Linked DNA regions of Caenorhabditis elegans. The protein of the gene in region 2 interacts with the protein of the main gene of each other region in a pairwise test. Each region holds a gene or a part of one and is shown on either strand. Other genes may lie near its edges.

Evidence for each region.
Region 1: the proteins of pxf-1 (region 2) and magu-2 interact in a two-hybrid assay, tested with the Caenorhabditis elegans proteins (one large-scale study listed by BioGRID).
Region 3: the proteins of pxf-1 (region 2) and F52C6.3 interact in a two-hybrid assay, tested with the Caenorhabditis elegans proteins (one large-scale study listed by BioGRID).
Region 4: the proteins of pxf-1 (region 2) and F37C4.5 interact in a two-hybrid assay, tested with the Caenorhabditis elegans proteins (one large-scale study listed by BioGRID).

Annotation. Positions count from the first base shown.
Region 1 is NC_003283.11:8,795,886-8,804,208, reverse strand, and holds the start of magu-2 (MAGUK p55 subfamily member 5), read left to right. Parts: upstream 1-3,180; 5' UTR 3,181-3,212; coding exon 3,213-3,387; intron 3,388-3,665; coding exon 3,666-3,775; intron 3,776-3,821; coding exon 3,822-3,906; intron 3,907-3,966; coding exon 3,967-4,054; intron 4,055-7,280; exon of another isoform or gene 7,281-7,579; intron 7,580-7,651; exon of another isoform or gene 7,652-7,841; intron 7,842-8,323.
Region 2 is NC_003282.8:10,168,954-10,177,362, reverse strand, and holds the start of pxf-1 (Rap guanine nucleotide exchange factor), read left to right. Parts: upstream 1-3,021; 5' UTR 3,022-3,032; coding exon 3,033-3,122; intron 3,123-3,202; coding exon 3,203-3,330; intron 3,331-4,018; coding exon 4,019-4,102; intron 4,103-5,618; coding exon 5,619-5,694; intron 5,695-6,515; coding exon 6,516-6,623; intron 6,624-7,054; coding exon 7,055-8,409. Other genes in the region: rack-1 (Small ribosomal subunit protein RACK1), read right to left, coding at 1-63, 116-263, 307-490, 539-653. UniProt on the Caenorhabditis elegans protein: Acts as a guanine nucleotide exchange factor for small G protein GTPases like rap-1 and rap-2. Required in the hypodermis, especially in the seam cells, for proper formation of the cuticle.
Region 3 is NC_003280.10:1,920,930-1,927,492, forward strand, and holds F52C6.3 (Ubiquitin-like domain-containing protein), read left to right. Parts: upstream 1-3,829; 5' UTR 3,830-3,837; coding exon 3,838-3,949; intron 3,950-3,997; coding exon 3,998-4,324; intron 4,325-4,375; coding exon 4,376-4,530; 3' UTR 4,531-4,791; downstream 4,792-6,563. Other genes in the region: bath-7 (BTB domain-containing protein), read right to left, coding at 1-17, 63-175; bath-2 (BTB domain-containing protein), read right to left, coding at 688-810, 865-1,016, 1,080-1,227, 1,275-1,653, 1,703-1,815; F52C6.4 (Ubiquitin-like domain-containing protein), read left to right, coding at 2,218-2,329, 2,384-2,574; F52C6.2 (Ubiquitin-like domain-containing protein), read left to right, coding at 5,541-5,652, 5,705-6,007, 6,062-6,333.
Region 4 is NC_003282.8:3,869,769-3,877,586, forward strand, and holds F37C4.5 (Protein F37C4.5), read right to left. Parts: upstream 4,039-7,818; 5' UTR 4,034-4,038; coding exon 3,884-4,033; intron 3,730-3,883; coding exon 2,404-3,729; intron 2,358-2,403; coding exon 2,163-2,357; 3' UTR 2,063-2,162; downstream 1-2,062. Other genes in the region: F37C4.4 (Transmembrane protein 196), read left to right, coding at 496-587, 874-1,145, 1,493-1,671, 1,848-1,958; F37C4.6 (Pyridine nucleotide-disulfide oxidoreductase domain-containing protein 2), read right to left, coding at 5,720-5,902, 5,946-6,207, 6,815-7,315, 7,420-7,818.

The DNA.
Region 1 (8,323 bases), on a different chromosome or scaffold from region 2:
AGTTGTGTCATGTGATTACGGTAAAAATAATTTATGGAACCTAAGAATTTGAAAACAGAATCTACTGGAATTATTTTATTGTTGGAGGTTTACCCGAAGAGATTCTCCACAAATTTTGCTCTTTAACACAAATTGTTTTAAAAGTTGACTCTTTTTCAATTTTTCAAATCATGTAAAAACGTTTGAGGAAAAAACAAACCAATTGATCCTTTTTTGCTTCTATTCACAAACATTCAAAAGTCGTCTTTATTTTGTTTGTTATTGCGTGCCATTTCTCCACCAAATGTCCGTTTTTCTTTGCAAACGCCGTTCCAACAACTCTTTTCCAAATCCGTCAACTTTATAACCAGCTGGCAACTCTTTGAGCACTATTTTCCTTTTTTTTTGAATGAAAGTGTGAGTACGCACACGGGGCCTCTCATCAGCTGCTTTTCGTTTTCTAAAACCACTCGTTTGGGACTTCTAGGAACCCCTTCAATTCCCTTCTTTTTGGTTCTTTTCTCCAAATTTCTTCGCTCATTTTTGAAAGTGTTTGGAATCAGAAAAATAGAAGTGTGGAGATCTCTAAAGCCATACTTCTAAAAACCAAAAAGCCGGAAATTGGAAACGTTTCTCACGGCGACGTTGATGAACGAGTGAAGAAAAGTGAGAAAGGGAGATGGTTGGTTCCACAGAAAAGGAGATCATATCTATCTAGATTTGTTCTCGAATGCCAGTTAAACACGCTTTGACGGCGGAGGAAAGTTATTTGAAGGTCTCGTTGACTTTACTTTTCTTAATTTAATCTAATCTATGCAATTTCTCTAGGATAACTGCCAAAAATAATTTTCATGTGAATATTTCATTTATGTAAAAACACTTTTGTTTGAGTTTGACTTTCTTATTGCTATTTTGACTTCCTGTAAAACTTGCTGAATATAAAATTGCAGCAGGTTGACTATAAATTTTGATACTGTAAAAAAGTTTTCTTCCATTGACTCATATACATTCTATGAACGTTATTATTTTCAAACATAAAATCCTTACAATCTCAAAGTATTTTCCACACAAAATTTTAAACCAAAAGTATTTCAAGAGAAATACAAGAAATTCGGTAAGTTTTTAAAAGTGTCGCTAGTTCTCTAGAGATTGAACAAAATGCGTACGGTTCAAAATTTTTTCAAAATTGATTAAGCGAATTAGTTTTCCTATTTAGTTTAAATGGTTATATTTTGAAATTTTAATATGTTTTAGAATTTCAAAAAACTGTTTGCATAATTTCCGCATAAAATCATAGTTTCTCGACAAACGTTTTGTGAAGATTATCAACGATGGACGTTTATGTTTTTCACAATATCTTCTCACAACTTATTCTCAAAATCCATATTTGTTTTTTGCATTCTATACAAAATAAAATATGCCCATCAAACTCGAAACTAGCCTAAAAATGACTGAGATCCGAGAGGCGGGTGAAAAAAGTTTTTTTTTTTTAAGTTACGAACTTTAACCATAATAGTAGTGTTATTTGTCTTGGTTTTTTTTCAAAGCTACGAGAGTCACAATAGAAGATCGGCGTAATTTGTCTCAGAGAAAATTACAAGACGACATGTTGAAGATAGATGAGCTGATCAATGAAATCAGCACTAATCAGCTGGCTATTCTCTATCTTATAGCTTGTTCTTTCTATGCGGCCTGCGTCTCTTCAAATCCCTGCGGGTCGAATGTCACAATTCACCATCTCCTTTTCTCTTTCTTGCTCCATGTGCTTCTTTCTGTCCCCAGACTGGACCTTCTTGTGCTCTCCCACCCACACCGCCATCTTCCTTTCTCTCTTTGCCCCATCCTCGACTATCTGTATCTTCTTCGTTCTCACTTTTTATACTCGAGACTCTGTGGAAAAAGACACAGAAGACACACCAATGGCGTCAAAAATCTTTTTTTTTAGTTTCCCTCTGCCGGACACGATGCACATAGTTTCGGTGCGATTCTCTCAAGAGGATCCCCCATAATTATTTGTCACTCTAAATCTCAAGCTCTCTCATCCAGTTTTCATTCCCAATCTATCCATCTCCCTGTCACACTGAACTAGTGGAATGAATGTCAATATCATCAATCTGGACCACTGTTTTCATCTGTCTCGTTCAATTTTTTATCCCCGGGAAAAGCTATTATTTAGTGCTTCATTCCGTGTGTCTTGAGCTCATGGATACTTTGAAGACCTCATCTTTTTTGATTGAACAAACGTGACAAGACAATTTTATGAATTCTTAGAGAGTGTGTGTAATTTTAATTGCTTGCAGCATGCTTGACAGCTGCACTTACTGTTTTCCTTGAAATACGCAAACTTTCACTGATATGCCTAATTTTAGAAGTGTATTTTTGAAATTCAAAGGAAAAACTTAAAATTTACTTTCAAAATCTTTAAAGTAGCTGTTTTTATCAATCTAGAAAATGTCACTACAGATAAAAATATTGTATTGATATGTGGAGTCTTTTAATTGTGCTTTTCGTGAGTCAATAATTAAGATTGCATTTTTAATTTGGCAACAATTTAGAAATTTGTTATCTGGCAAATATGTTCTATGATACCGTAACTTTCTCAGATAACTTTAAGATTATTTTTTTGTCCATAACCTCTGTTCTCAACTTTAAGACATACAGTACCCCTTATACACAGCTCCCTTTTTTTGTTATTTTGAATTTTCTCTTCAACTATTCCCATTTTTGTCGGTCTTTTTCCAATTTACCCCAAAAAGTCCATCTCATCAAAAGCGCTTCAAGTCTTTTAGTTCTTATCCCCCATTCCTCTTTAAGCTCTTGAAACACAAAAAACAATTGCAGAAGAAAAGAAAAAAAGCAATTAACTAAGAAAGTGCACTCATCACAACTCTTCTTCTCGGTTCTTTTTCTGTCTCAATTATTCACGCAACAACGCTTACATGAAGTAGCAGTTTTTCGAGTGATTCTGACATTTCTATTCATTTGTTTCAAGTTTATGATTATTTTTAGATCCAAGTTTTGAGCAGATCCCGGAATCCTAGCATTCATCATTCAAAATGAAAACCACGAGATTTCAAAACAACTTTTTTCATTTCACCTACTCATAAATTCCATTCCGATTCAGTTATTGCTTTATTTTCAGAAATTTGGATTCTCATTTTCTTATTTTCGCTTTCGTTGGAAATAATATTCCCAAAAAATTTTCAGCCTTCATCTAGTGGCTCGAGTATCAAATGTCCAAGTCGGTGTCGATACCACAGGCACTGTCCGACTTGAAAAGGACATCCTTGAGACGGTTGAGCAGTGCACGTGGTGTTGGAAATAAGAAGACCGTTGTGAGCACTTCGACGCCGTTGAGTGGTTTTGTAATTTTGGTTGAACGAGAAGAGAAGGTTGTTCGGCTGTACGGTAAGTAAAAGATAATTTTATTTGACTAATTTATAAAAACATTTTGAAGTATTTTTATTGAAATAATTTGCAATTTTGATGAATTTTTACTGAAATTTTGTCAACGAACATTTGTACTAATGCGATTCTCCAAATCGTTGATGGCATCGGCAAAGTGGGCGTTTTTTTAACCTATATCGCAATTTTTTTCGCTTTTTTCAAGGTGTCTGGAAATCAGATATAAAGTGCTTTACAAATTTTATGCAGACTTCTGAAAAAATAATCGATTTCCATTACAGGAACTGCTGCGGAAAGAGCAGGATTGAGCATTGGAGATGAAATCGTTGGGGTAAATGACATGAAAATAGAAGGAAAAAGTTATGAGGAAGTCACAACTTATATTCAAGAAGTTTGATAAAATTTATGATACTTTCTTGCAAAATTTCAAATTTCAGTGTATTCGTCGAAAAATCATTCAGCTGAAAGTTAGACGTCGTGCATTAGAAATTCCAGCAGAAAATGAAGCTTCTGTTTTTAACTGTGAGTAAAAAAAAGTTTATACTTTTTCCTTTTTAATACTTAGTTTTTGTTTAATTTCAGGCACAAATTCGAATCGTATGATAACGGATGCATATCTAGTTTCCGTGGATAAGGATCATATCAAGGAAGTTACTAAACGGCTGAAAAAGTGAGTAATCTTTTTTTGAGAGAGATTTTCTTCTCTGCGATACTATCTGTGAGAAGCGGAACGTGTAAAGAACGGAAAGAAGAGTTCTTAAGTGCTCTCTATTTATGGTATATGCATAAACAGTGAATATATGACAAATAGTGCAAATACCACTAAGATTTGGTTTTTGGCAAATCAATGTTCTTGAAAAGTTCTCATATTTATTTCATTTCACTTAAAAAATTCATCTCTCTTCATTTTCTTTAAAATCTTTGTTGTTCACTCGTCGACCTGCTTTCTAGAAATTAATTAATGGCCTCGAAACTTTCTGACGGGCAGGGAAACACAAAAACACTGAGATTATGAATGTGAGCTAATTTGGAATTCTCGTTCGTCCAGTCTTCACAACTATATAGGTCACATTCTAGTATTTCACACAGTTAGTCGGCACGTCTAGTATGTCACAAACCAATAATCTGTCAAGGTGAAGACAAAAAATGGAGAAAAAAAAAGAGAAAAAACGGAGAGTTCCGTCGTCAAATATATCAATAAATCTAGTGATTAATCAGTCAACCTGGCGATTCTTTTTTATGTCTCCCTGATATTCTATTTCACAGTCAGTGGCATTTTCAAGTAATAGAACCTCCCATTGCGCTTATCACACTCATTCTCTCTTTCTCATTCCTTTTTTCTTATTCTTTCATCAACTTTTTAAATGTTTCTGTCTCATTACACTATTTATCAAAAAACTATCATCACTCAAATTCTGTGTTCTCTTCGTTTCGAAGGTTGTCTGACTTGTGATAATTGCAGGTTGTTAGGGTTTCAGAACGTTACAGTTCTTTATTACAATTTACTACGCTTTTGAGATTTTTTGTATGTTCACAGTTAGCTAAACTCTTGCCTAGCTTTGGAATAACATGTTACTTTCAATTTATTGATTCTTGTATGTTTTGAAAAGCAATGACTTTTAGCACCCTTTTAGCACGACTGAAACTATCAGAAAAAGATTTTATACAGCTGCAGCTAAAATTTCAACACACTTTTTCAAAGGAAATGTTCTGCAAAACTTTAATTCAATCGTCAAAAATTGAATAAGGAGCAACGACTGCCGTTCTCTCAAATTACAAAGAGTCACAGAATTTTATTTTCGGGGGAATACCTTTCCAAAAATGGGTGAAAGGTCATAACGAATACATCAAACTCCAACACATTAGACACACATTGTTATTTATTGACATAAACCATTTATTGCTTTCCATTCGTCTCCTCACTTTTCCTTGTCGACAATTGTCAATTGCACCGTTCTTTCCAAACCCAAAAATTTAACAAATAATTATTGAATCCGTTTACACTTTCTTTTTTTCCATTCAACCCTAACCGTTCCTCTTTTTGTCATCATTGTGCAAATTTCATGCATCATAAATTTTTGAGGACGGTACGGTTTTTGTGTAGTTGTGGATCGGTTAACTGTTTGGTGATGGACACAGTTATCGCGACTTTAACAAAATTTTGCTTTTATATTTGTTATCAAGTGGCAAATTATTTTAAGTTATCATTATCAGTGGAGCAGAAGATATTTTATTACTTTTCTAATGTTTCGAAAATTTCAAGGAGTATAGGAATAATTTGCAATTTTTGGAAATATATTGGGTTCGAATTCTAGAAATTAGTCTGTATAATTTAAATATTGTTGATTCAAAAATTATTTTTTCAGCTACTATATGTAATATTCATTTTTAGAACCTTTCATTTTCTTAGTGTTTTGCTACTTTCCCGATATGTCTCATCATTGCTTAAAAATATTTATACATCATAGCCACCACCTTCTAAATCGTGGTTTTCATAAATATGTATTTGTATACATCTTTTCCCCAATAGGAAGGGATGCGCAAACGGGACCTCAAATGTAAAGCTGGTGATGAGCAAACATAAAAGTAGAAGAAGCGCGCACGAAAGATGATGAAGATGCAATACGGACTGTGTGTGAACAACTACAATACCGTCTATTGTTTCGACCCTCACTCACTCTCACCTTCCTCTTTTCCCTCAACCTGCACCACTTTGTATACAATTGTCATGAAGAGAGTCAGGCTGAATGGGGAATTATTCTAGGACTAGATTTGGTTGATGTTGGGTGACCAGCATGGTTTTCCACATTTTCATCTTCATAATGATTTTTGGAAGAGAAAATCAAAACCAACATTATGATCGAATGTTCTTCAAATTGTTTTGGTAACACCTCTTACCACACTTCGTAATAATAATAAGTACGTGTCAAGTTGTTTAGTCACAAAACCGAGTATGTCAATTTTTCAATCCAAACTGCAAACATTCAGTTTTGATTTTTTACAAAGTCTGGGTTCTCCTCAAATTTTACTTTTAAACTTTTTGATTTTCAAAAAATTGAAACTCAACTACATTTTTTTTTTTCTTATTAGACCACTCTTTTGAAAATGAATTGAGCCTCTAATTAGATTCACTCCATAAGTGGAATGCATTCAATAAATATAACTTGGGATTTAACAATTTATATTTCGTTTGGTTTAAAATACGTCAGCTCTTGTTGGAAAAATGAGACTTTACTTTTTTGTATTTTATTCCAATAAACATGTTAGTGAGAAGCACTCCGATACAAAAACTAATTTATTGATCTCTTTTGAAATCTGAGAACATTCGAACTTTAGCGAACGGGAAAAATGGTGTGGAGCAAATATTTAGGTTTTGGATTTTTTGTTGTTTTTTAGATGTCAGATTATATAATAGCTTTTGGTATCTTTTACATATATTTGCAACTTGCTGTTCAATTTAAAAACAGATCGTTGGGACATTATATTTAAATATACACCCGTACTAATATCAAACTATAGATTTTTTAGACTGAAGTTTGAGAAAATATCTAACGTATTCTTAATTAGAACCTATGTAGTCATATATCCTCTGTCATACCTCATTAATAATCCGCATCCTTTACCTCACCTATCCACAGAGTATATAACCTTGTCTAATTAGACTCCCCAATCCCCTTTTCCCGCTCTTTGCCTGCCATATCGTGAAACGCCCTGATTGTCAGGATAATTGGCATACATATATGCACGGGCACTCTTTTTCTCTACCTCCTCTTCACCTTTATTGACAATACAATGTGCAAAAAGGTCACAATACCGAGGTATAATACTCTCTTTTTGACAGTCGATGTATTTATTTCATTTTCACATTTTCACCAAAAATATTGAAAATAACCAGTTGGATAGAAAAGAGATACATACAAAATAGAGAAAATACACACATAATCCCATCTCTTTTCATTTTCCCTTATTCTTTCGTTTTTTACTTCCGTTGGTGGGTTTCGTGGTGGTGGGTGCGTTTTTTTTTCCGTGCCTTTCCACCCATCGTTCCATCCCATCATTCCACCGACCCATCATTCCGACACGAACACATCATCATTCATTGTTATTGTCATCCTTTTCATATATACCTGGACCTATTCCCCCATCAAATATAGATCAAATCCATCATCTCTGCCCGACAAAGCTTGTACCAAAAAAGGAGAAAAAGCAGGTGTCGTCAATAGGCTTCACGCTTCCGGACCGGCAGGTGTTCGGGTTTGAGACTGAACAACTGAAGAAACAACGTTCACATTAGCCCCCGACCCAAACCGATTGAGATGCTTATCGGTCAAAACTAGCCGAGTGTGGGTGAGAGAGAGAAGGTTTAACGGTGGTCTCCTTTGATTTCCCGACAACTAAACTCCCAATGATGATGATGAGAGAACGGTCTTTTTGATGGTTTTATGAAACCTCATAAAATTCATATCATTCTGGGAAAAGGTCAGTTCACTAAAAGTGGGAGCATAGGTGAAAGTTTCGTATTAGAAAAATTTTATAAAAAGTTACCTGCATATTCTTTTTGGCGCTCAAAATTTGCAGCTAGAAATTAACTATGCCCTGGTGTCGATTTTTCAATAACCGAATGCCTTTTTCAATAACAGTCCTAGAAATACTTCACTTTATTTGAATTATTGACTCATACGCCCAATCATCCGCACAATATTTTTTCACCTTTTGTTTGAAATATGGAAAAAAACCATAACTTATAAGTAACCCTTTTGAAAATATTTGACACGTATTCGTTTGTTTGTTGCCATTTTTCGATTTCTTTTGATGTCATTGTAAGCATTTGCCAGTTGACTTTCATATGTCTGCCTCTCTTATACATTAAAACCCCAATTTATATTCAATTAATTAGTTGGCACGGAGTGGTTGCTCTGGCGTGACAATACATACGTCA
Region 2 (8,409 bases):
CACTGGATCGCGGTTCGATGGAGAGAAACGAACGGTGGAAACCCAATCGGTGTGGCAATCATCCTAAACAATAGTTTCGATAAATCTTCCTATAAAAGAATTTGAAAAAACGTACAGTGATGGTGTACTTGCACTGGGCAAGAGTGTTCCACAGCTTGATGGACTTGTCGCGGGATCCAGAGACGATTTGTCTGTTGTCAGCAGAGAAGGCAACAGAGAGAACATCCTTGGTGTGGGAGATGAATTGACGGGTGCTCACTCCCCTATAAAATTGTTTGCACAATGTTTTTTTATTGAATTACTTACTGGTTGAGGTCCCAGAGGCGGAGGGTCTTGTCCCAGGATCCAGAAAGAGCGAATTGTCCGTCGGAGGAGATGACAACGTCAGAGACGAAGTGGTTATGTCCAGTGAGCGAACGAACTGGGCGACCGATTGGTCCCTCATCGACTGGAGCAACGCTGTCGACATCCCAAACAAGGATAGTCTTGTCTGAAAAATGTGAGTATAAATTTGAAAACGTTATATTAATTGACTTACCGCGGGAAGATGACAGGACAGTGGTCTTGTCGTTGCGGGTGTAGGTGGCGATTTGGGTAACCCATCCGGTGTGACCCTCGAGGGTTCCGGTAAGCTTCATTTGCTCTTGGACCATTTTGCTATCTGTGTAACCCCGTTCGATCTGCTAAAAATAAAAATGTTCCATATAAAAAAATGAAAATTTTGGAGAATAGAGCGAACGAAAACCATAATTTTGTTCGAATTATGTTAAAAACATAGCCACTTTAATTATTAAATGTTGAAAATGTTGAAAAAATCATTGCTTTAACAGAAAAATACAGAAAAAAGGAAAAATCGTCCTAAAAATTCGCGTCAAACTAGCCAGCCAGCAGCAGAGGAGAAGGGGTGAGTCGCTGCGAGACCCCACAGCGAAAGTCTATGCGCCTTTAACCTGGCACTTTGCCAACTAACGAATTTACGGAACAAATTAACTTTTTCTTGTAAATTTGCATCTATGAAGCAGTTTTTGACACTTTTTTAAATTTACTTATTTATTTATTCAATTATTTATGTTTAGCTTTTATTGTGACAGTTGTTTTCGAGTTTAGCGAGCCATTTATTTGAGCCTTAAAATTAATATTTCTGAAAACTGGTTTGATTTCTTCGAAAAATTATTATTTTCTCATTTAAAAGCAAAAATACTTTAGTTTTTACATTAAAATCAATGTAATGTGGGTTTAGTTCTAATTATTCTCCATCCATTCAAATTCATCGTGTCGAGCTCGAATTTTAAAGTTTAACATTTCAGCATCCGGGGTTGCATGTGTGCAAGACATATTAAGATTACTGCATGAGATATTGCCAGAAAAATCTGACGAGACTAGTTCTTTGCGCATATCTATTGCTTTTTCGTGGAATTCCTGTCAGCTTAGTCATGCTTTTATGGGTTTCAAATTGACGAAGCGACAAAAATGTTGACTTCTTGTAGAAATTGGCCAATTGTCCGTGAAAACTTTGGTATGTGCTTGAAAATCTTCGAGTTGTTTCCTTATAATGTTTAATACCTTCTCATCTTAAATTTTACGTTGATATGCCAACATCACTATTTTAAAGTTTTTTTTTCATTCAAAAAAGTCATTTTTATTTTGAAGAATTTTTGAATACAATATATTTTCAATAATTCCCCATTTTTTAGCTGACTTTCAATACAACAACAGAACCTTGCAATAGCAATAACATCACAACAATTCCCATAATGAAAAATATTTTTTTGCTCCTAGACATTTTTTCGATATCTGTTTTTTTCCAATGGGAATGTCAACAATCAACTCTTTCCTGAGCCAATCTTCACTCGATTCTCTGTCTTCTCTGCAATCAGTGCAATCTTTAACCCAATCAACCTGCGTCTCAACTTTCCGTTCCTCTCTTATTTCTTCGCAGCACCTTCCGTTGTATTATTGATCGGTTCGCAGTGGTTTGGCGGTGCTTTTCCGCACCGTCCCTCGCCTTTTCCTCCTCCAATTTCTTGCCTCTACACAGACTGTCCGATTTATTTCTTGTCCTCTTCGCCTCTGTGTTGTTCCTAGTCACATTCCTCCAAATGCCCGTCCCTATGTGTGTGTGCGGCCGCCGCATTCACTATCCGCCCGTTTAATCGCCCCCCCCCCCCTCAGACTTTGATTCCCTTCTTCACAACTTTTGCATCCTTTTCTTTCCTGTGTCTAGTGCCCCTGATTGTTTATAATCAACCTCTGATAGTAATAGAGATTAGACGTTGTTATCGGCACACGACGACATCATTATCACTTTGTAATTCAATTGGTGGTAACTGACTGGATGGGACCCTTTTTTCAGTTGTAGATGATCAGAACAATCGAAACTTTCATAAAGACACTAATCGAGGCTAATTTTTGATTAAGAACGGGAGTGGCAGAAGTTATGCCTTCTAGCTGTACATTTTCACTACAAATGTCCTAGTTTTTCTTTTATATGTGACTCCCATTTTAACAATTAACAATTTTCAATTGGTATTGTCATGCGGTACTTCTAGATTGTTGCAAAAATTGTTAAATATCATCATTGTAAGGAGTAATCAGTTAGTTGATAGTGCCTTCGTGATTTTTTAGAAAAATTGTTGTATTCATGTACTTTTCGTCTCTTATATTCTCATATCTTCATTAATAATCTAAAAGTAATCTGCAAATCCTCTAACATCTCTTGGGGATGAATATATACATATTCTTCTACCTCTCTATTCACATAAATAAACACAAAAGAAGCATCCGAGCTCCTCCTTCTCCGCCCCATTCACCCCATTACATGCTGATTTATGAGATTATCTGAACGCTCGTCCTCTTTCGCTTACTCTCTCTTTGCCGTCTTAATCTGAATGGAAGACCACATGGCTTCTGTTCAACGAAAAAATTTACATTTTGTACTTTTTGCCTTACTATGGTTCCCGAAATTTTATTTTTTATATTTTTCCTTCGAAAAAACTAACAATCTAGATATTTTATATTTATAGGAGAATCAGATGGATCCTCGGAAACCTCGACAGGATCCAGTCAATGATGCTCGTTTTTACGAATCCCTCATTAAACCACCGCATTTAAGGACACCAGATGTAAGTTTTTTTCGGATTAAAATGTTTTCAAAACAAATCAATATTCCACTTTAAAATTATGTAATTAATTATTTTTTCAGGATATTCGAAATGTATACGAGCAATTGCGGCAGCTCGACACCTTCAGTAATTTGTTTATAGGTCCATTGAAAGCTCTCTGTAAAACTGCTCGATATGAAAGGCATCCAGCACAATATATTCTTTTTCGGTGAGTTTTTCTAAAATAAATTTTAAACTGATTCGGACTCTGTTCCCGGAAAACATAAATATCAAAGGGAAAAATTAAATACAATTCCCCTCAAAAAGATGTTTTTTTCATTGAAAAACTTAAAATTTTAAAATATGAAGAACATCTTATCTTTCTCATAGACTAAAATTCATATGAAATTTTTTTTTTCAAAATTTTCAAAACAAAAAAAGCGTTGTATTTGATATTTCGTAAATGTAATCAGAATTTTTTATTATTTTTAATTCGACAACATTTTTGATTCATACAGTTTGTAATGACTTAAAATATTTTTTTTCTAGATAATTCACGAAATTTTCAATAATCTACTAATAGAATTTAAAACACATTTTAAAGGTTTTTAAAAAAATAGCTTAAAATGTTGGTCTTTTTTAACTTTTAATATTTTTTAAAAATTTATATTGTTAATTTTTTGAACAATATTTTTCGATTTTCCGAAAATTAAAAAGTTTCGTTGATGGGTAATCAAAATGAGGAAACTAATAATTTTTGAAAGCGAAAAAAGTTTAATTTGAAAATCAGTACGGTTAATTCTTATTTTTACTTATAAATCTGAAAAAATAACATTTTCTGGAAAAACTAATAGAAATTGCCTGAAAATTTGATATTTCTCCACTCCCATAAAAAAATAATGAATTTGAAATTTCAGGGATGGAGATGTCGCACGAAGCTGGTACATTCTACTATCAGGATCAGTTTTTATTGAAAATCAAATCTACATGCCTTACGGGTGGTGAGTGATTTTTAAATATAAAGGGAAATAATTTCGCCAAAAAAATAATCAAAAATAAATTCAAAAAATGTAAAGGAAAGTACTGATAATCTCCATATTTAATTTTGCACGAAATGAATCAATTTCACTACTTTTAAATGAAAATTTGCAGTATTGATAAAATGAGTCATCATTAGTGTAGACACCAATCCGTACAATTCCCTATTCTTCGTTTTCTTATATGCTCATCTAATTTCCTTTTCCCATTCTCTCCGTGACAAGACGATTGAAATAATGACAATGATGCAGATACACACAAAAAAAAGAATTTCGTACTAGGTAATAAAAATGTGCTCAGACACGAGAACACCCGGTGTGTCCTCTTTGCGTGCTCATTTTCTATTCATTCGAAATAACCCATTTTATATGAAATGTTGAGAAAAATAGGAAGTGGGTTATTAGGGGGAAATGAGCTCTCTAGATGCTCACTCTTTTCGAATATTCTTTCATTTTATTCAATTTGTTCCTAGTTGTCCAGAAAATAGTAGAAACATCGAAACCTACACACATAATTTCATGTTCTCTGTAATCGAATCATATTTTATTTTAATTTAAATTATTCCTAACGATTTTGCAGATTTAATTTGCATAATTAGTTGATTGGGTAATTATTTTGACAATACTTCCTAGATAATTACAATATCAAATATATTAAAATTATGGTCATTTAAAAAATTTAAAAATAATTGAAACCCACTTATTGAAATTGAAATTAAGCAAAAATTTCCATTTCATCCGCTCATCTTGTTTCCCATTCAGGATCTGTCGATAAGAGATATTATCATAAATGATAGTCATATATTTTCTCATAATTGACACACTTTCCGTGATGTTCCTTCACTTTGTTTCAAACTTTCCATTCCTTACAATGTTAGGAAACATTTTGAATCAGGATTCAATAATGTTTTATGTAGCAATTAGAATACTAGTTGTTTTTGTTCTAATTTTAAATGTTTAGTACATTTTTGTTAAACTATTGCACTAACAGCTTCTTTATCGGGTAATATTCTCTTGGTATTTAGCTTAATTTGTCTTTATAGCAAAATGATGATGTGATTTTCAAAGAATGTTAAAACTTTTTCTTTAACTTTATTTCGCTGACACAACTATCAATCATCATGTGAGATTTTAAAGAAATGATGAACGACTGAGAAAAGAGCAAAGAAAAGCGCACAAGGGGGGAGACAGACTGTTTGCACTCGAAATCCTCTTGTTCTCTTCATTTCGTCTTCCCTCGGGAGTTCTTCTTTTTCTGTTATGTCCATTCCATGTGGTCAACACCCTTTTTCTTCTGTCTTTTTTGTTCTGCGACTTTTTTTTCGGATTCCCGTACTTTTTTACCCGAGATTTCTCATTCTCTTGTACAGGACATAATATCAAATTACTCATTTCCGTTACCCAAAAAAACAACAACACAAAAAAACAATAGGGGCATTTTTCTACGACGATTCTCAATTAAAAAGTGCTTTTTTTGCAGCTTTGGCAAGCGAACAGGACAAAATCATCGAAGGACTCATAATTGTCTGCTGTTACAAGAATCTGAAATGATTGTGGTATGATTTTTAATTTTTCATCAAAAGAAATGGTCGAAAAAGCTAAGTACTACGCCTTACCTTTTTTAGCAAAATATGCATCCGAAATTTTGTAAACTCTCGTTGTTTCGGAATTATCAACGTTTTTTCATCTTTCTTTTTCTCGCGATTTGTTAAAATCTGTGCGTTTTATGTTAATTCTTTTAAATAAAAAATTATCTTAAAAAATAAGAATTCCTCAGAAACGTGTTTGAAATTACTGTATCCTTAAAGGCGCAGACACACTTTTGATTTAACAAAAAGTTGTCGTGTCGAGACCGAGTATCACATTTTTGGTGCAACAATTGCAAAACTTTACGTATCGATAATAAACTCATTCAGTTATTTTATGTGAGAAATTGTGTATCTGGTTGTAGTACTTGGTAAATAGGAACATCTGTTCTGAGATATAGACGGAGTGAAATAGAGAGCATTAGAGCTCCAAAAATAGTTTTTTTTTTCTATTCGAGGCCGCGATTTCTCTACACATTGTTTCCCCATGCCCGATTATCTCCACTAATCATAATATATCCATCTTGTAAATTTATTGAAAAGTGCCTCAAAGAGCCCATTGAAGGGATTATTCGATTTCGTAAGAATCCTCACCATGCGTGTTGAGCGCGCCACGCTCTTTCTCCCTCTTCGGAACAAATTCGATTGACCCTCATCTCCTCTTCTCCGCTCTTTTCACATCTGTTGGGCACACTTAAATTCGTTCCGAATAAGTAAGTGTGACAACATTTTGGCAAGATGAAACATTGCATTTTTATATAAAGTTTTTGAGAAAATGTTTTTTTTTTCAGATTGACTATCCAACGGAACCCCAATCGAATGGAATGTCACCACGAACACCTCCTCGAGGAATTCATCATTCAGGAGAACCAGTTCATCAGAAAACTCCTAGAAAATCGGTAAGTTTTTGAAGGTATTGATAAATGATAAAATTTATAGATTCCTTCTTTCTGAAAGTGCCTCCCCATTACGATTGCGTGTCGTGAAGCCATGTTTCATTAGTTTTTCGTTCCTCTCTTTCTCTTTTTATCTAATTCCTGATTCTCGCTCATTTCTTCTCATTTTGTCTATTTCTGACTCGTTTTCAGTGATGTCGTGGTCTTATTTTCAATTTTGGTTTGCTTTTTTTTTTGCTCTGGTGTGTTGTTGATGGGGATTATTTGAAATCACCATCAACAAACACGGCAATGCGAAATTAGATTTTTATGTGTTGCAATGAGATTCATCCCGTGTTTTTTCTAAGCTTTTTCACCCTCACTGTCTTGTATTCCGGAGACCCAAACAAATATAAATGAAAAAAAAAACCACAAAAATTCATACACAATTTCAGGCACCAAATATGTCAGTTGATTCAATTGCAATGCCGCCACCTCCAGTTCCACCTCGTCCTCTACGTCTTCCACAAACTGCAGCTAAAGGCCCAGCTCCTCTGCCGCCACGTGGTTTACCTAGAACATATCCATTGGATTTTCCTGTAGATATTCCAACAACGTCATCATCATCATCAAACACTTCATATAATGATCAACATCGTAGTCAAGTATATTTGAATGGATTATCCGCTGATGAAGATACTCTTGTTCGAGTGAAGCATAGAAGAGAGAAAAGCAATTCAGTTGGAGGACAAGCCCAGAATGGAATTTCAACTGCTCGGAGGCTTCGAGGAAGAAGCACAGCATCATCTACAACTACTGAAGGTGAAACAGCTTCCAACGAAGGAGCAGATTCAGACGAAGATGAAGGGAGTATGCCTTCACAAGAATCAAGTAGTGGAGGATTCATGGATCTGCGAGATTCTGTCCGAGAATGTCTTGAAAAGGAACCTTCAGAACGAAATTCAGAAGATCTTGCAGTTTTACTCGATTTCATGCAACATATGTCCGCATTTGCCGCTTTGCCGATGTCAATAAAACGTCAGTTATGCTTGAAAATGGTTTTTGCGGTAGTAAACGATGCGGGTACGGTAGTTCTTGCTCACAACGAGAAACTCGATTCATGGTCTGTAATAGTGAATGGATGTGTAGAAGTTGTAAAACCATCTGGTGAGCGTGTTGAATACAAGCTCGGAGATTCATTTGGTGCAGAACCAACACCTGCAACACAAATTCATATCGGTGAAATGAGAACAATGGTGGATGATTGTGAATTCGTACTTGTTGAACATCGAGATTTTTGTTCAATTATGTCGACAATTGGTGATCATATTGAAAAAGATCGAGACGGTTTGACAGGAGAAGTTGTGTCAGAAGTTGAACGAAGGACTGTTGGAACTCATTGTGGACAAGTGCTTATCAAAGGAAAACCAGACAAATTAATACACCATTTAGTGGATGAACGAGATCATAATGTTGATCCACACTATGTCGACGATTTTCTATTGACCTATCGAGTTTTCATAAGAGATCCAACTACGATTTTCGAGAAATTGATGCTCTGGTTTGCCGATTCTATATATCGAGATAAAGTTGCAAGATTGGTTCTTCTATGGGTTAATAATCATTTTAATGATTTCGAGACGAACGATGAGATGTGGAATCTATTAGAACGTTTTGAAGGAGCATTAGAAAGAGATGGAATGCATTCTCAACTATCTTTATTGAATATTGCATGTTCTGTAAAAGCAAAACCTCGACAAGTGATATTAACAAGGAGAAAAGATGACAAAATGATGATGAGATTAGTTGG
Region 3 (6,563 bases), on a different chromosome or scaffold from region 2:
GGTGAATGCACATTTGCCTGAACATTTATAAATTAAAGTATAGCAATTTTTTTTTGAATTACCATGGAACATTGAAATGTTCTTCATCGGGACTATAAAAAATTTCGCCTGTTTTCCATTTTGTTACATTCTTGAAAATGTGCCTGAGCGTGAATTTCTTTCCGGGGGCGACCATTTCGAAGAGTCCCTGAAATTTAATATTATTAAAGTCGCAAAAACCTGGAAAGTGGGCGTAAAGAATTAATTTCTTCGTTTTGGAACATTTTTTTGAATGAAAATATTGAAATTATGAACGAAAATATGGAAAATATATCGAAAAACAAACTGGAAAATCACAAAAAAAGGTTTGCGCGTCAATTCAGGTGCATTGTGTGCAATGTGAACTTTTTTGCTTACTGTAGTTTGGCAAGATTTTTTAATGATTTTATCGACTTTTGCGATTATATCGATTCTTCTCGTCGAAATTCTTCCTGAAAAAACCCAATTTTTAACTAAAATTCAAATTTAAAAACTCAATTCATTCATTTAAAATTTTATTTCACAAAAAGATAAGAAACCGATCATCAAAAAACACTGAAAAAAAGAAAACCTAGTAAAATCGTCGGAAGTATTATATTTTTAGTTGTCGTAAATTAAAAATAAGGAATCATTCAACAAAAAAAGTTAAAAAGAAGAAAGAATGGAACATCAATGAAGAGCCAGCGATTTACGGAAAAGAGCATGAACCACAGATGGATCCATTTCATCCAAATCTCCAGCCAATGCCGCTTTGATCTCCTCCAACGTATTGATTTTTGCGAGACAAGACGCCTGAATAATTAGATTTTCAGACGTTTTTCGAGATTTTTTTCGGATTTTTGCTACCTTCAAATTCTCCAGCTGATACTTCTTGGCGACTTTAAGCTTCTCCTTCGTGGATTTTTCAGATGAATCGACAAGAAATTCCTCACATCTTTTAATCGGAAACGGCATATCGTACAAGTGAGCCAAGTGCAGAATTCCGTCCACTGTTTCCTCTGAAATTTTTAAAATTCTAATTTTTGCGGATTTATTTTATAAAAATATTTCGAATTTCTCACCATCAATAGCATATTCTCCATACCGAACTTCCATGAGATTCTGAAAATCGGTGGAATTGATGTCCTGGAGTTTGACTTCTGATTTGTCAGCTTCTGCAAAATTTCCGAGCAGCAGAGTCTCGAAATATGTAGAGTGGGAAGCCAGGAACTGAAAAAAAAATCAATAATTGATTGATAAAAAAATTGAGAACATACTTTTCGGAGAACGAAGAACTTTTTATCTCCAACTGCCAAAATCACATCTGAAAATTCTTCATTCGATCTCTCGAAGCTTTTGAGCTTTTTCTTCGGAATTCCAGACATATTCTTGATTTTAACAGCAACTTCAATGATGATGACGTCATCGATTAGATAATCCTTCAGCAATGAGTCCCACTCGAAAACATCGCAAAATCCAAGTGCATCATATGAATTCCAAATGTCACTTCCGGTTTTTGTCACAGATTTTCCCGAAGAATTAGAGAGTTTCAAGGTAAATTCAGAGTCGATTTTCCAGGGAGCTTGCTCATTTTTTGGGTGCAGATACCGGAGAAATACAGCCACGTCTTCTTTTTGGTGAATGAGAACTATTCGCCTGCAATATTAAACGTAAGAGTGAAATTACAATTCATTTTCTAGCTTGCCATTGAACATTGAAATGTTCTTCTTCAGGACCATAAAAAGTATTTCCATCTTCCAGCTTCGACACATCTTTGAAAACATGGGAGAGCTCAAATTCTCTTTTGACAGCGACCATTTCCCAATGTGCCGCTGAAAATAATTATTTTTGAATTTTCTGCAAAAAATACGATGAACTACGTTTAAATGCGAAGAAAAAACAACAACAAAACCCCAAAAAACTAATTGCGCGTCAATTAATGTGCATTGTGTGCAATGTGAACTTTTTCGCTTACCGTAGTTTGGAAATTTTTGTTCTTCGATTTATTGATTTTTTCGAAACTCTTGCCCATATTTACTTGTTTTTTCTCATTTTTTATCGAAATTTAAATGAAACAAATTAGTTTAAGTGCTATATTTTTTTTATTCAACAGAATAAGTTCAAAACTTCCCGAAGATCAAATTTCTGTGGATTGTTACTCTTTTTTCACTGTTTTTTGTTGCAATACTCTCAATAAATTCAACTTTTCCAGCTAAAACCATGCTGCTCTCCGTCAAAACGTCGACTGGAAAAACCATCACAGTGGAGGCGCCGAAAAATGTGAAAACTGAAGTTCGCGACAAACAGGGAGTCGTTTTCACAGTCTCTTACGGTATTTATCGATTTTTTTTTTGGTTTTTATTTCAATATATGTTTATTTTTTCAGGAGAAGTAACCGGAGATCCAATCACTGTTGAAGCATCGGACGCCATCAAGGATCTTAATTTCAAGGTTGCCGAGGCTCAGCGAAAACCGCATCGTGAAGGAATGCGAATTTACGTTAAAACTTGTGAAAAAACGATCACTCTTGACACTGCTGCCTCCGATACCATTGCAAGTGTTAAGGCTAAAATCTAGGAAAAACGAGGTTTTCCATCAAATCTGCAGAAACTATATTTGGGTTAGTACTTTGAAACTGATAGCTTGTCTAATTTCTTTAGTTTTTACAGAACCTTCCAACATTGTTTTGTGCAAGGATCAACGTACTATTTCTGACTACAACATCAAAAACGGCAGTACTCTCCGTTTGGAAGTTCCTGTAAAAGAAAAACTGACGGTTTCTGTGAAAACCTTATTCGGAAAGACGATTCCTATTTCAATCAAGAATACGGATACTGTTGAGACATTGAAGTTCAAGGTTCAGAATAAACACGGTGTTCCACCAGATCAGCAGCGTCTCATTTTCGGTCGGGCACAGCTCGAGAATGACCGTGCTCTGTTCGCCTATAACATTCGTGATGAGGATATTATCCATTTAGTCTCCAGACATCGGTTGTGAAGTTCTCAATTTGATTGCTCTTAATCTGTTGTTTTGTTACTTTTTTGTTTTTTATTGTTGATAAATGTTGAAGGTTTTTTTTTTAATTTTTAAATTAAAAACACTGTCTCAAAATATTACAGGTACCATATTTATGATATATGAGGGTTTTTTTCCAGTAAATTCTTCTGTGTTCTGAATTTCCGACTTAAACATTTTATTTCGATGGTTCAGAAAATTGGTTTTTCAGGTTTTTGGATACTTCAGGCTGATATTTTGAAATACTCGAATTTAATTCAATTTAGCATTATTCAACCCGCTAGAATTTCTGTTGGCACATGTTTCTTCAATTAGAATTTCTATTATTTAAAAAACCACAAAGAATTTAATAAAAAATCAGCGAAACTACGGTAGACGAGGAAGTAGGCAGTTGCACACGATACACATTAAATAATTGACTTTTCCGTTTTTCTTGATTCAGTACTCGAAATGTTTTCATCGAAAACTTAGAAAAAAGTTTTTTAATATAAATGAAATTTCAATAAAATTTGCGCGTCAATTAAAGTGTTCTTTGTGCATTGTGAACTTTTTTTGCTTACCGTAGTTTTGCAATATTTGTTTTTCGATTTATTGACTTTTTCAACGCAATTCTTCTTTATAGCTTGCTTTTTGCCCGTAATTCATCAAAATCTTGATAATAATATTTATTAATTCATTCTATTCATATTTTTAAGAAAAATCATTTCGAAATTATCCAAAAACCAGATTTCTCCCTTGTTTGCTTCTTTTTTCACCGTTGTCCTCGTTTTTCTGTTGCAAAACTCTCAATAATATTTAATTTATAAATTTTTCCAGCTAAAATCATGCTGCTCTCCATCAAAACGTCGACTGGAAAAAACATCACAGTGGAAGCGCCGAAAAGTGTGAAAACTGAAGTTCGCGACAAACAGGGAGTCGTTTTCACTGTCTCTTACGGTATTTATTGTTTTTTTCTGGGTTTTGCATTAAAAAAATCATTTTCAGACAAAGGTACCGGAAATCAAATCATTGAAATGGAGGACACTGTCCAAGATGTCAAAATTCAAGAGGCTCAGCAAGCACCGCTTCGTGAATCAGAAGAAGTGACCGAAGATCCCATCAGTGTCGAATCATCGGAGGTCATCGGAAATCTGAATGTCAAGGTTGCCGAGACTCAGCAAGAACTGCATCATGAAGGAATCCGAATTTACGTTGAGAACGCTGGAAGAACATGCACACTTGACACTTCCGCCTCCGATACCATGGCAAGTGTCAAGGCTAAAATTTGGGAAAAACTAAGAATCCTCCCAAATACGCAAAAACTATTATTGGGTTTGTACTTTAAATATTGAAAGATATGTCTAATTTCTTTAATTTTTACAGAAAACTGGGACCTAGATTTGTTTAGCGATCATAGCACTCTTTTTGACAACAGTTTCGAAAACGGCAGTACTCTTCGTTTGGAAGTTTCTATAGAAAAAGAAATTGACGTTTTTGTGAAAACCTATACCGGAAAGACAATCACCATTTCAATCTAGAATACGGATACTGTTGAGACCTTGAAGCTCAAGATTCAGGATAAGGAAGGTATTCCACCAGATCAACAGCGTCTTATTTATCAAGGATCGCAGCTCGAGGATGACCGTACTTTGATTGCCTATAACATCTATAATGAGGCTACTCTCCGTTTAATTCTCAGACTTCGTGGATGAAGTTCTCAATTTGAATATTGTTAATTTGTTACTTGTTATTTTGTTACTGTTCTGTTTATTTTTGTTGATGAATGTTGAAAAAGTTTAGATTTTTTTGAAATTAAAAATATGGTTTTTAAACAGCCGGTATATTTCTTTGTGTTCTGAATTTCCAACGTAAAGAATCTTTTTCAGTGATTCAGAAAGTGTGCTTTTCAGGTTTTTCGTTAATTTCTGTATTTCTCTATCATAGAATACATTTCAACTCACAAGAATTTTCGTTAAAAACCACAAAAAAATTAATAAAAAATCGGCAAAACTATGGTAGACGAGAAAGTACGCTGTTGCGCACAATGCATGTTAATTGACGCGCAAACAGTTTTTTGTAATATTTTTTTCCTGTTTTGCTTGATTCAGTACTTGAAATGTTTCTTTTCAAATATTATAATAGTTTTTTTTAAAATTTTCTGCAAAAAATGCTGAAATTCTAATAAAACCAAAAAAAAACTCAAAAAACGGCATGCGCGTCAATTCATGCGCATTGTGTTCATTGTGAACTTTTACGCTTACCGTAGTTTGTCGAGATTTGTTTTTCGATTTATTGATTTTTTCGAAACTCTTGCCCATATTAACTTGCTCTTTCTCGCTATTTATCGAAATTTGAATGAAAAAAATTAATTTAGGTGCATTATCATTTTTTATTTAACAAAATAAGTTCAACAACTACTGAAAATCCAATTTCTGTCGATTGTTATTCTTTTTTCACTATTTTTGTCAAATTAAAAAGTTCTTTCTGCGTCTTTTTTGTTTAAATGCTCTCAATTAGGTTTAATCTATCAACTTTTTCAGATAAAATCATGCTGCTCTCCATCAAAACGTCGACTGGAAAGACCATCACAGTGGAAGCGCCGAAAAGTGTGAAAACTGAAGTTCGCTACAAACAGGGAGTCGTTTTTGCAGTCTCTTACGGTATTTATCGTTTTTTTTTCCTGGTTTTTGCATTAAAAATAATAATTTTCAGACAAAGATGCCGGAAATCAAATCATTGAAATGGAGGACACTGTCCAAGATGTCAAAATTCAAGAGGCTCAGCAAGCACCGCTTCGTGAATCAGAAGAAGTGACCGGAGATCCCATCAAAGTCGAAGCATCGGACACCAACAGAAATGAAGAAAACCCCGATTTGGCTGGGCCACCCGCGGAGCCAGTTATTCGTGGCACTGCCGCCTCCGGTAGAATTGTAAATGTTAGGCTTGCGGGAAAAAGAATCGTCCAACCGAATAGGCGTTTCACATCATATTTGCCTTCGTCCGCCGTGAGACGTGGTTGGTTTTACAATTGATTATTTGTCTAATTTACCCATAATATTTTTTTTTCAGTAGCATCGCCCTATCAGATTCGGCGGGTTTCAGTCGATGGAAATTTCAACGTTTTTGTGAAAAACTCAACCGGAGGAAAGACTACCGCTGTTTCAATCAAGAATACGGATACAATTGGTACCTTGAAGCTCAAGGTTCAGGAGAAGGAAGGCATTCCACCAAATCAGCAGCGTCTTCTCTTCAAGGGATCGGAGCTTATGGATTATCGTACTGTGGCGCATTGTGGACTTCGTCAAGGCACAAGTCTCGATCTTGTTAGACTTGATGCATGAAATTTTTCGATCGATACTCTTTAATTTTTTAAACTGTATTTGTTTTATTCCTGTTTTGTTTCTTTAATGAACGCTTAATAATTTTTTTAGACGTAAAAATCTATTTTCAGTGATTCAGGCAGATGGGTTTTTAGGTTTTTCTCTAGAATATTCTTTTATTCGCAAGGATTTACTCGAAACTGCTCCAATAAATAAGTTTTTCCAGAAAATCCACTAAAAATTTAGCTTCT
Region 4 (7,818 bases), 6.3 Mb from region 2:
ATGATAACTTTCTTGTAATAAATTTTTTTTGTGGTCAAGATGCATTGACACAATGTTGACAAATTTTCAATTTTAATTTAAAATGCGCTCTAATGATAACTCTTGTTAAAACATCAAACGCGCTCTAATATTGACAAACTTTTTAAAGACTCAATTGCAAACATGCTCCAATTATAACTTCAATTTTGGTGTTGCAAACGCGCGCTAGTGATAGGATCAGGTTTAATGTTGCAAATACGTTCAACTAATAGTGAGAACAGTGAAATCCTAATAGCAAAAGTTATACTTTCTCCCGGAAACTGTTCCATACATGTAATCTATCGATTCCAATCACAAAACAAGGCCACATTGGAGTAGTCACATGGGATTCTCCTACCTGCCTCCCCGAGGCAGTATATCCGAATACTTGTCTCTTTTTTGTCGCAATTTTGCGTTTGAAACTGTAGCTTCGAACCTATAAAATATGTATTTTTAATTTAAAATAAATATTTGCAGACTTCTGAAGAAGAAGAGGAGTTCTCATCAAACGAACGACGGCGTTATAAGGCTTATACAGTAATGCAGAAGGCAGGATTTCAGCATACCGAGTAGGTTAATGTAGCAGACGACATTCTACGGGTACCCACGAAATGTCGGTTGCTGGGTAGAAAACTTAGGACTCATCTTAAATAGGTCACAACTTTTTAAAAGGATTTTTTGTCGATGCACCATGTTTTCAATCAAATAATGTCAAATGAAAAACATAGTTTATTATATGTTTCTTCTTTTACAGTAGAAAATTAGTTGATAGCTTCAAAATGAAGGTGTGGGCTCGCGAAATTTTTTAAAACCGATTTTATGCCGATGCACCATGCCTAAAGTTCTTTTTTTTAGATACGCCCAAATAATGGTGCACCTGTGCCGCGCGGAGATCCTCATCTCGCTCATCTTTTTGGCTCATGGCACCACATGCCCCGGCTACCCGACAGAAGCCGAATACCAATCCACGTGCCATATGAATACGGTATCAGCAATTGTCAGCTTGCTCACCGGAGCCATGGGATTGGGCGCTGTGCATAGATATCGGTGGAGGACCATGCTAATCTTGTGGCTCGTTTTTTGTATCATGTCGGCTGTCGGAAGTCTGCTAGCTGTGATTACTACAGGTAAGAGAGTTTTTTGCCGAATGGCTTATATCTCGATCAGATTGAAAGTTGTTCAGAAATTTTTCAACAAAGTTATACTTTTTTGATATCCATTAAAGTTGAGTAAAACTAAAACAATGTCATTTTTCTTCATGGTGCATTGTTGAACATAGAAACTGATACAACAAGTTGTTTGTCAATAACTTTTGGATAAAACCAAAAAGAACTGAGATATCAACTCTCAAAATCAGGCAAACATGGTGCAACGAAAACTTCATCTTTGGTTTTATAAAAATTATTAGCTAACTTTATACACTGTTCCTTTAAAATTAACCGAGGTATGGGATTTCAATTAATTTTTTTCTCAGGCATCTGGCTCGACCACTACTCAAAAATGAAAGTCCGCACGGCAATCGGCAACGGGTTATCCGGTTTCATGCTTTTGGCATCAGTTGCTCTTGGAGTGTGCTTCATCTTGACCGCTGTCATGATTTGTCATTATTGGAACTCCAACACCACCGGCTATCAGCCAGTGCAGAAAATTGCAGTGAGTTGACAAACCTCGTTTACTTTTAAAATTATTACCAATTTACATATTGCAAAGTTAAGAAAACGTGTTTTAATTATTTCGCCAATTGAAAACTTTTTGACAAATGCAAAAAAGCTCTTAAATCACATGGTGCATCGAACCTTGTTCCAGAAATTTCCATAAACCCTTTGCAGAAACGCGCTAGATCTCTGCGCCGTCGATTGAGCCGAGCAAAGAGCTGTGACAAAAAAGATGCAAGACCTCCAACCAGCAATCCAGAAGATAAGGGTTATCATATCGTGTGATTTTTTTTGTTCTTTTTTCTAAATTCCAATTCCATTTGTTGCTCAAAACGGGTCAATTCCATCATTTCAATCCATTCTGTGTGTCTCAAAGAAATCAATAAATTCTGAAATTACACATTTATTTTACATATTTGGCGACATTAAAGGAATTATTTATAAATTATACAGATCAAGTTAAAGCGGAAAAATCATCGCATAAGCACTTCAGAACTTCTCCTCATAGCGAATTTGCTCAGCCTGTGGGTGCTCGGTAGTGTACTTGACGACGAAAGTGCTGGACTGTCCTGGCGCAAGTTGGACGGTGTAGTCGAGAATCTTCTCCGGAGTGATGGCGGCTCCGACGGTTGGCTCGACGCTTGCCTCGTCGACTTCCACGGCTTCTGGGGTGTTGAGGTGGACCTGAAAAATGGGAAATTTAGGGGCTTTTTATGTATTCAATCTTTACCTTAATTCTAGAATCTGTGGATCTTGGCAACTGCTCGCGAATGGTGAGAAGCACCGAGTTGGGGCGAAGATTAGTGACGGCAGTGGTCTTCTCGGTGACCTGAGAGTTGATCTTCTCGACGGTTCCGCTCTGTTCCTGGTAGTTTCTGACAGGCTTGTACTCGATGCGGATGTTCGGGTCGACGCCCAACGACACCTCAAACTTTTGCGATACGACCGCATCTTCGAACTCGGTCTTGTTGACGAATGCTCCGTCGAGGAAGATCGATGCCTGACCGGCGACGAGTGGGTAGTCGGAGGTGTTGACCGAGTTGGCGACGAGGAACGCGGTGGCGTTACGGGATGGGACGGTAACGTTGGAGAGCTTGGTGTCGAGTGTGAATTGTCCGATGTTCACCTTGTACTCGTCGGTGCGATCGTCGATGGTGGCGGGGCGGCCAATGCTGAACTCGGAGGCAATGTTGCTGGACTTCACAGCCGCATAGGACATTTTCATGGATTTTCTACTTCTACCCATTTCCATCATCGGAGCCGCGCAGGCCATCACCACTGAATCCTGAGCGTAACCACCTCCATAACCTCCTCTTCCACCTCTGTTACATTCTGGTTCGGGCACAACAATCGATGCCTCGAGGGCTCCGAGCTTCGGAAGTTGCTTAACTCCGTGAGCGGGTCTTGCGGTTGACAACACCAATGGCACTGTCTTCCAGTCTTCTCCACTGTACTGACGGACCTTTCCGAAGTAGGTGACGTGCATCTCAGCTTCAACACCAGCAGTGACGCGGATGTCGTAGAACGGGGTCCAGGAGACGTTGTTCACTTGGTAGGTGATGGTGAGCTGTGCAGCACCACCGGCTTCTGACTCAACAATAATACTGGCATACTGAGCAGAGTTTCTCCATCTGTATCCGGTATTGTCGTAGTCTTGGCTAGCACGGGCGTACTCTTCCTCGGCCTTTCGCAGGTCTTGATCCAGGGTTCGGATCTGAGCGCGAAGATCCACTGTTGTGTCTTGATGGAATCCGTGGAGGGCGTTGAGACTTTCAATTGTGCGCCCGTCAAAATGGAAGGCGCCGTCCTTTCCGTGCTTGGCGACTTCGGTGATCAGATTGTCAAGTCCCTCGATGCGCTTCTGTACGGCAACTCGGCTATCGGCAACCTTGTCCTTGGCGCGTTCCTTTTCCTCGAAGATCGCCTTAATTGCGAGAACCCGCTCCGGGATCACAAACTCGGCACCCTCCTGGTTCTTGACGGAGACGTCGTGGATCACAGCTTCGCCGGCTCCGGAAACACGGATCGAGTCCTGGACGAGGTCGAATGGGAGGTTCTGAAAATTTTTTTATCACATTGTGTGAGTGTTTTTATGACTTTAACTTTGACAGGTAAGGTAAATATTGGAAATTTCGATGGTTTTGTTTGCTTAGCAGTAAAAAATGCAAAAAAAAATTATTTTTTCTCGTATTTTATAGCCCTTCACTCACCTGAACTTTAACCTCATTGTAGCCATGAGCCAACTCGACCTGGAAAGTTCTCTTGAGCTCAGCGCAGTTCGAGTCGGAGCTGTAGACGAGAGCCTGGTCGATGGCGACGTCATGGAGGGTGAGCTTGTGAGTTTGCACGATGTGAGCCATTTTTTCTGGAAATTTTGAGGTAAATTTCAAGGGAAAATTTGAAAAAGTGAGGCTAAGACGAGAGTTTAACAAATAAAATTCTACAAAACTGACTATTTTCTATTTTTTTTTCAACAAAAAAAAAACACAAGCAACTTCCGAATTTCTCCCAACACAAAAAAGAAACAAACAGAAATTGAAAGTGTTCATTTTTACGTAGATCAAAAATGTTCAAAATTAACTACGATTTTTTGAATTAAAATTTCATCTTGCAAAACACTGAAAAATCTAATTAGAAAATACAGAAATTGATATTTTCCAACAAAAAAAATCACGTAATTTTCAAATTTCGCACATTTTTTAAATGTTGCTAGAATACTGTGAAATACTACAAATTACAAATTTAAAAAATTGTTTCATGATAAAATTCCCGAAATTTCAAGTTTCGCAATAATATCCGAACTTTTTCGAAAAAAAAAAATTGAAAAATGTCATTACTTTCGCTCGTTTTAGACAAAAAATTTGCAAACTAGAGCTATTTATAAATGGAAATAAAGCTTTGAAGCTATTTTTCCCCGGAACTCACCAAAAATATAGGAAACTGCGATTTTGGCAGAAAATGTATTTGAAATAAAATGAAAAAAAAAATCGAATTCCCAATAATTTTTTTTGAGTAAAATACGATATTTCACGTATTTCGCAATCTTATTTTTCGTATGTTATTTCGAGAAGTTTTCTAGTTTTGAAAAAGCCTTAAAAAAGTAAAAATGTAAGAGAAAAAGCGGAAAGCAAAGCTCAAACGATCAGAAAACCATGGGAAACCCGAAAAAAAAATCTCCATAGAGATTTGAGGGAAACACTCCTCTCAACAACTAACAAATTGTGGCGTTTTGGCCGCTCTTTTATACGAGTTTTTGGCATTTCTTTCGCTGTCTCTCTATCTCTTCACAAGAGGCAGCAGACAACACAAGAAAAAGGTCAAAATCAAGCGATGGGCGGCATTCTGTTGTGTTCCGATGAGTTTCTCTCGGTTTTTTTTTCGAAACTGAGACGAGTTCAACCTTTGACCAAGTGGCGATGAGTTTTCGTACTTGCTGTGTTGGCGAAAAAAGATCCTGCGGAAGGAGCTGTAAAACTGGGAGCACAAATCACACTAGACTACTCAATAAAAATACGAATTTCACAAACTACAGAACCACAGCTTTTTTTTTGAAAATTTCAAGACAAATCTGTGGAAAATTGATTTTTAACCTGAAAAATAGAAAAGCTTGACAGTTTTCAATATACCAAATTACAAATGTTTGCTTTTTTTCAGGTATGAACATAAATTGGATATAGTTTTTCTTTTTTTTTTTAAATAGAAATTTCAACTATTTTTTGAAGAATTAATTTTAAAATCCAAAGAAAAATACATACGTAAATTCTTTTTAAAAATCTGAAATTATTTCCCAAACTTTTACGAACATTTTTGAAAATTTCTATAATTTTCTGAAGATTTCCCGCTTAACATTTCTAATTCCACCAAATCACTCAAAAATCAAAGGTCACCGCAACTAAATCGTGAATCAAAAGATCACTTCCTCGTCGTCTCCTCAGCAGTTTCGAAACACACATTTTGCAATACATCATGGTGTTGGAAATGTTTTTATGAGTCACTGGCGCAAGACAAACAAAACAATAAAAAACCGCGAGAAGAGACTTAGAACGTTAGAAATGTTTGAGGGCATGAAGTGCGCTCAACCGACCGGGGGCTCCAGTCACACCACCTCCCGGGTGAGCACCACTTCCGCAGAGGTAGAGGGACTCGATGGGCGTTGAGTAGTTGCTCCATTTGCTGATCGGGCGGGACACGTACAGCTGGTCAAGGCTCATAGATCCGTGGAAGATGTTCTGAAGCAAATTTTGAAAATTGAGCCTTAAAAATGGGACCTACCCCTCCAGTAATCCCAAAAGTGTTCTGAATATCGGGTGGGGTCAAGATGTCATAGCCTATGACACTTGATGAAAAGTTCGGTGCATAAGCGTCTATCTCCGAGAAGACGTGTTTCGCGTATTCTGTCTTCTTTTCTTCCGTCCATTCACCGTCTTTCGGTGAGAAGGGAGTGTACTGGGTAAAGAGGAGGACGACGTGACCATCAGCACTATCCACAATGGTTCGGTCGACTGAAGAGGGAATTGTCATCTCGATGACTGGTCTGCAAACTTTTGAATTGAAGTTTATGGCGAGAATGATGGTATCATGAATTCTAAAAGGGGTTTTACAAATTGTCAGAAATCCTGAATCATTCATCGAATTTAAAATATTTATTTGATCAGAAAAGGAACTGTGTCTATTCACGAAGTGTCAGAGTGCGCCATGTTGGTTTGATCTACGTAGATGTACGCAAATTTAGATGCAGTCTTCTCAACTGTTTCGCATGCTTAAAAACGTGCTGACGTCACATTTTTTGGGGAAAAGTTTCCGCATTTTTTGTAGGTCAAACCGTAATGGGACATGCTGACACCACGTCTTCATTCGGATTGTTAATAAAATGTTTAAATTTTACAAATTCCCTGTCAAAACTTTTACTTTAGCTCAAGAAAACGGGGGAAAATGTTATGACACTGAAAACGGCCGCGACTAGTCGAATCCTATACGTAGTGTTAGGATGTCCTATTACGGTTTGATCTACAGAAAATTCTTCAGAATATTCGGCAGTTTGGACCGCAACCTACCGTACCCACAAAGATACAAGACAAATTATAGGTTTAACAATTTTCAAATTGCCGCCCACCGATGAAAACCCCTCTGAACCAACTAACCTTCTACTATATCTCCCGTTCTTATAATCCATCACCGCGTCATGCACCACTTGCATATTCTCACAGTTCATATGAATCGTCGTCTGATGATGTGGCATTGGCTCTGATCCTTGATTCGGTTTGGCCAAGAAGTTCGGAAGCTCCTTCACAGCTACATTGATTTTTGTCACCGGCGATGTGTAGTCGATTTGATTGATGTTTCGGTGGAACTCCTCTGGAAGTGACTCCTTCTTGACAAGATGGTTGAATGTTACATGAGGAGTCGCATTCGACATGACAATCTTCGAATGGAGCTCCTTGCCATTTGACAGACGGACTCCTTTAGCAACGTTTCCATCTAGAAGCACCTCTTGAACGTCTTGCTCCGTATAGATTTCGGCTCCATGGCTCTTGGCACATTCGGCGATGGCGTTGGATACAGCGCCCATACCACCATACACGTAGCCCCAGGCTCCTTTGTGCTCATCAAGTCCTCCAATGACGTGGTGGAGTAGGACGTATCTGTCACCAGAAATTTCGAGAAACTTATGAGTTTGTCAAAGAGAAGCTGATGTTTGGTGTCTAAAAACCTAGCTCCTCCTGCTGTAGACCGGAAAATAACTCACCCGGTTCCAGGATCCATTGGACTCGCGGCCAATCCAATAACACCGTCGGTTCCCAACGTCGCCTTCAGCACGTCACTCTCAAACCACTTGTTCATAATTTTCGAGATCGGCGCTGTCATCAATTCGTAAAAGTCTACGGCATTCCGCAACCCCAATGGCTGTACGGTCTTGAACAACAGGTAAAGGTGCGGAAGAAGCTTGTGAATTGGTTTCTGTAGATCCAGTGGCTCATAATCCATAAGTTGCTCAAAAGAATGCACAATTTCTGATATGAAATGCTCGTATTTTGGGTAATTTCCCGCGTCTCTCTGTGAGAACTTTGCGATTTCCTTCTGATTTTCAGCCATATCCATTCCAAGTAGCAGACTTTCATGAGTATTTCGGATTGGAGTAAAGGAA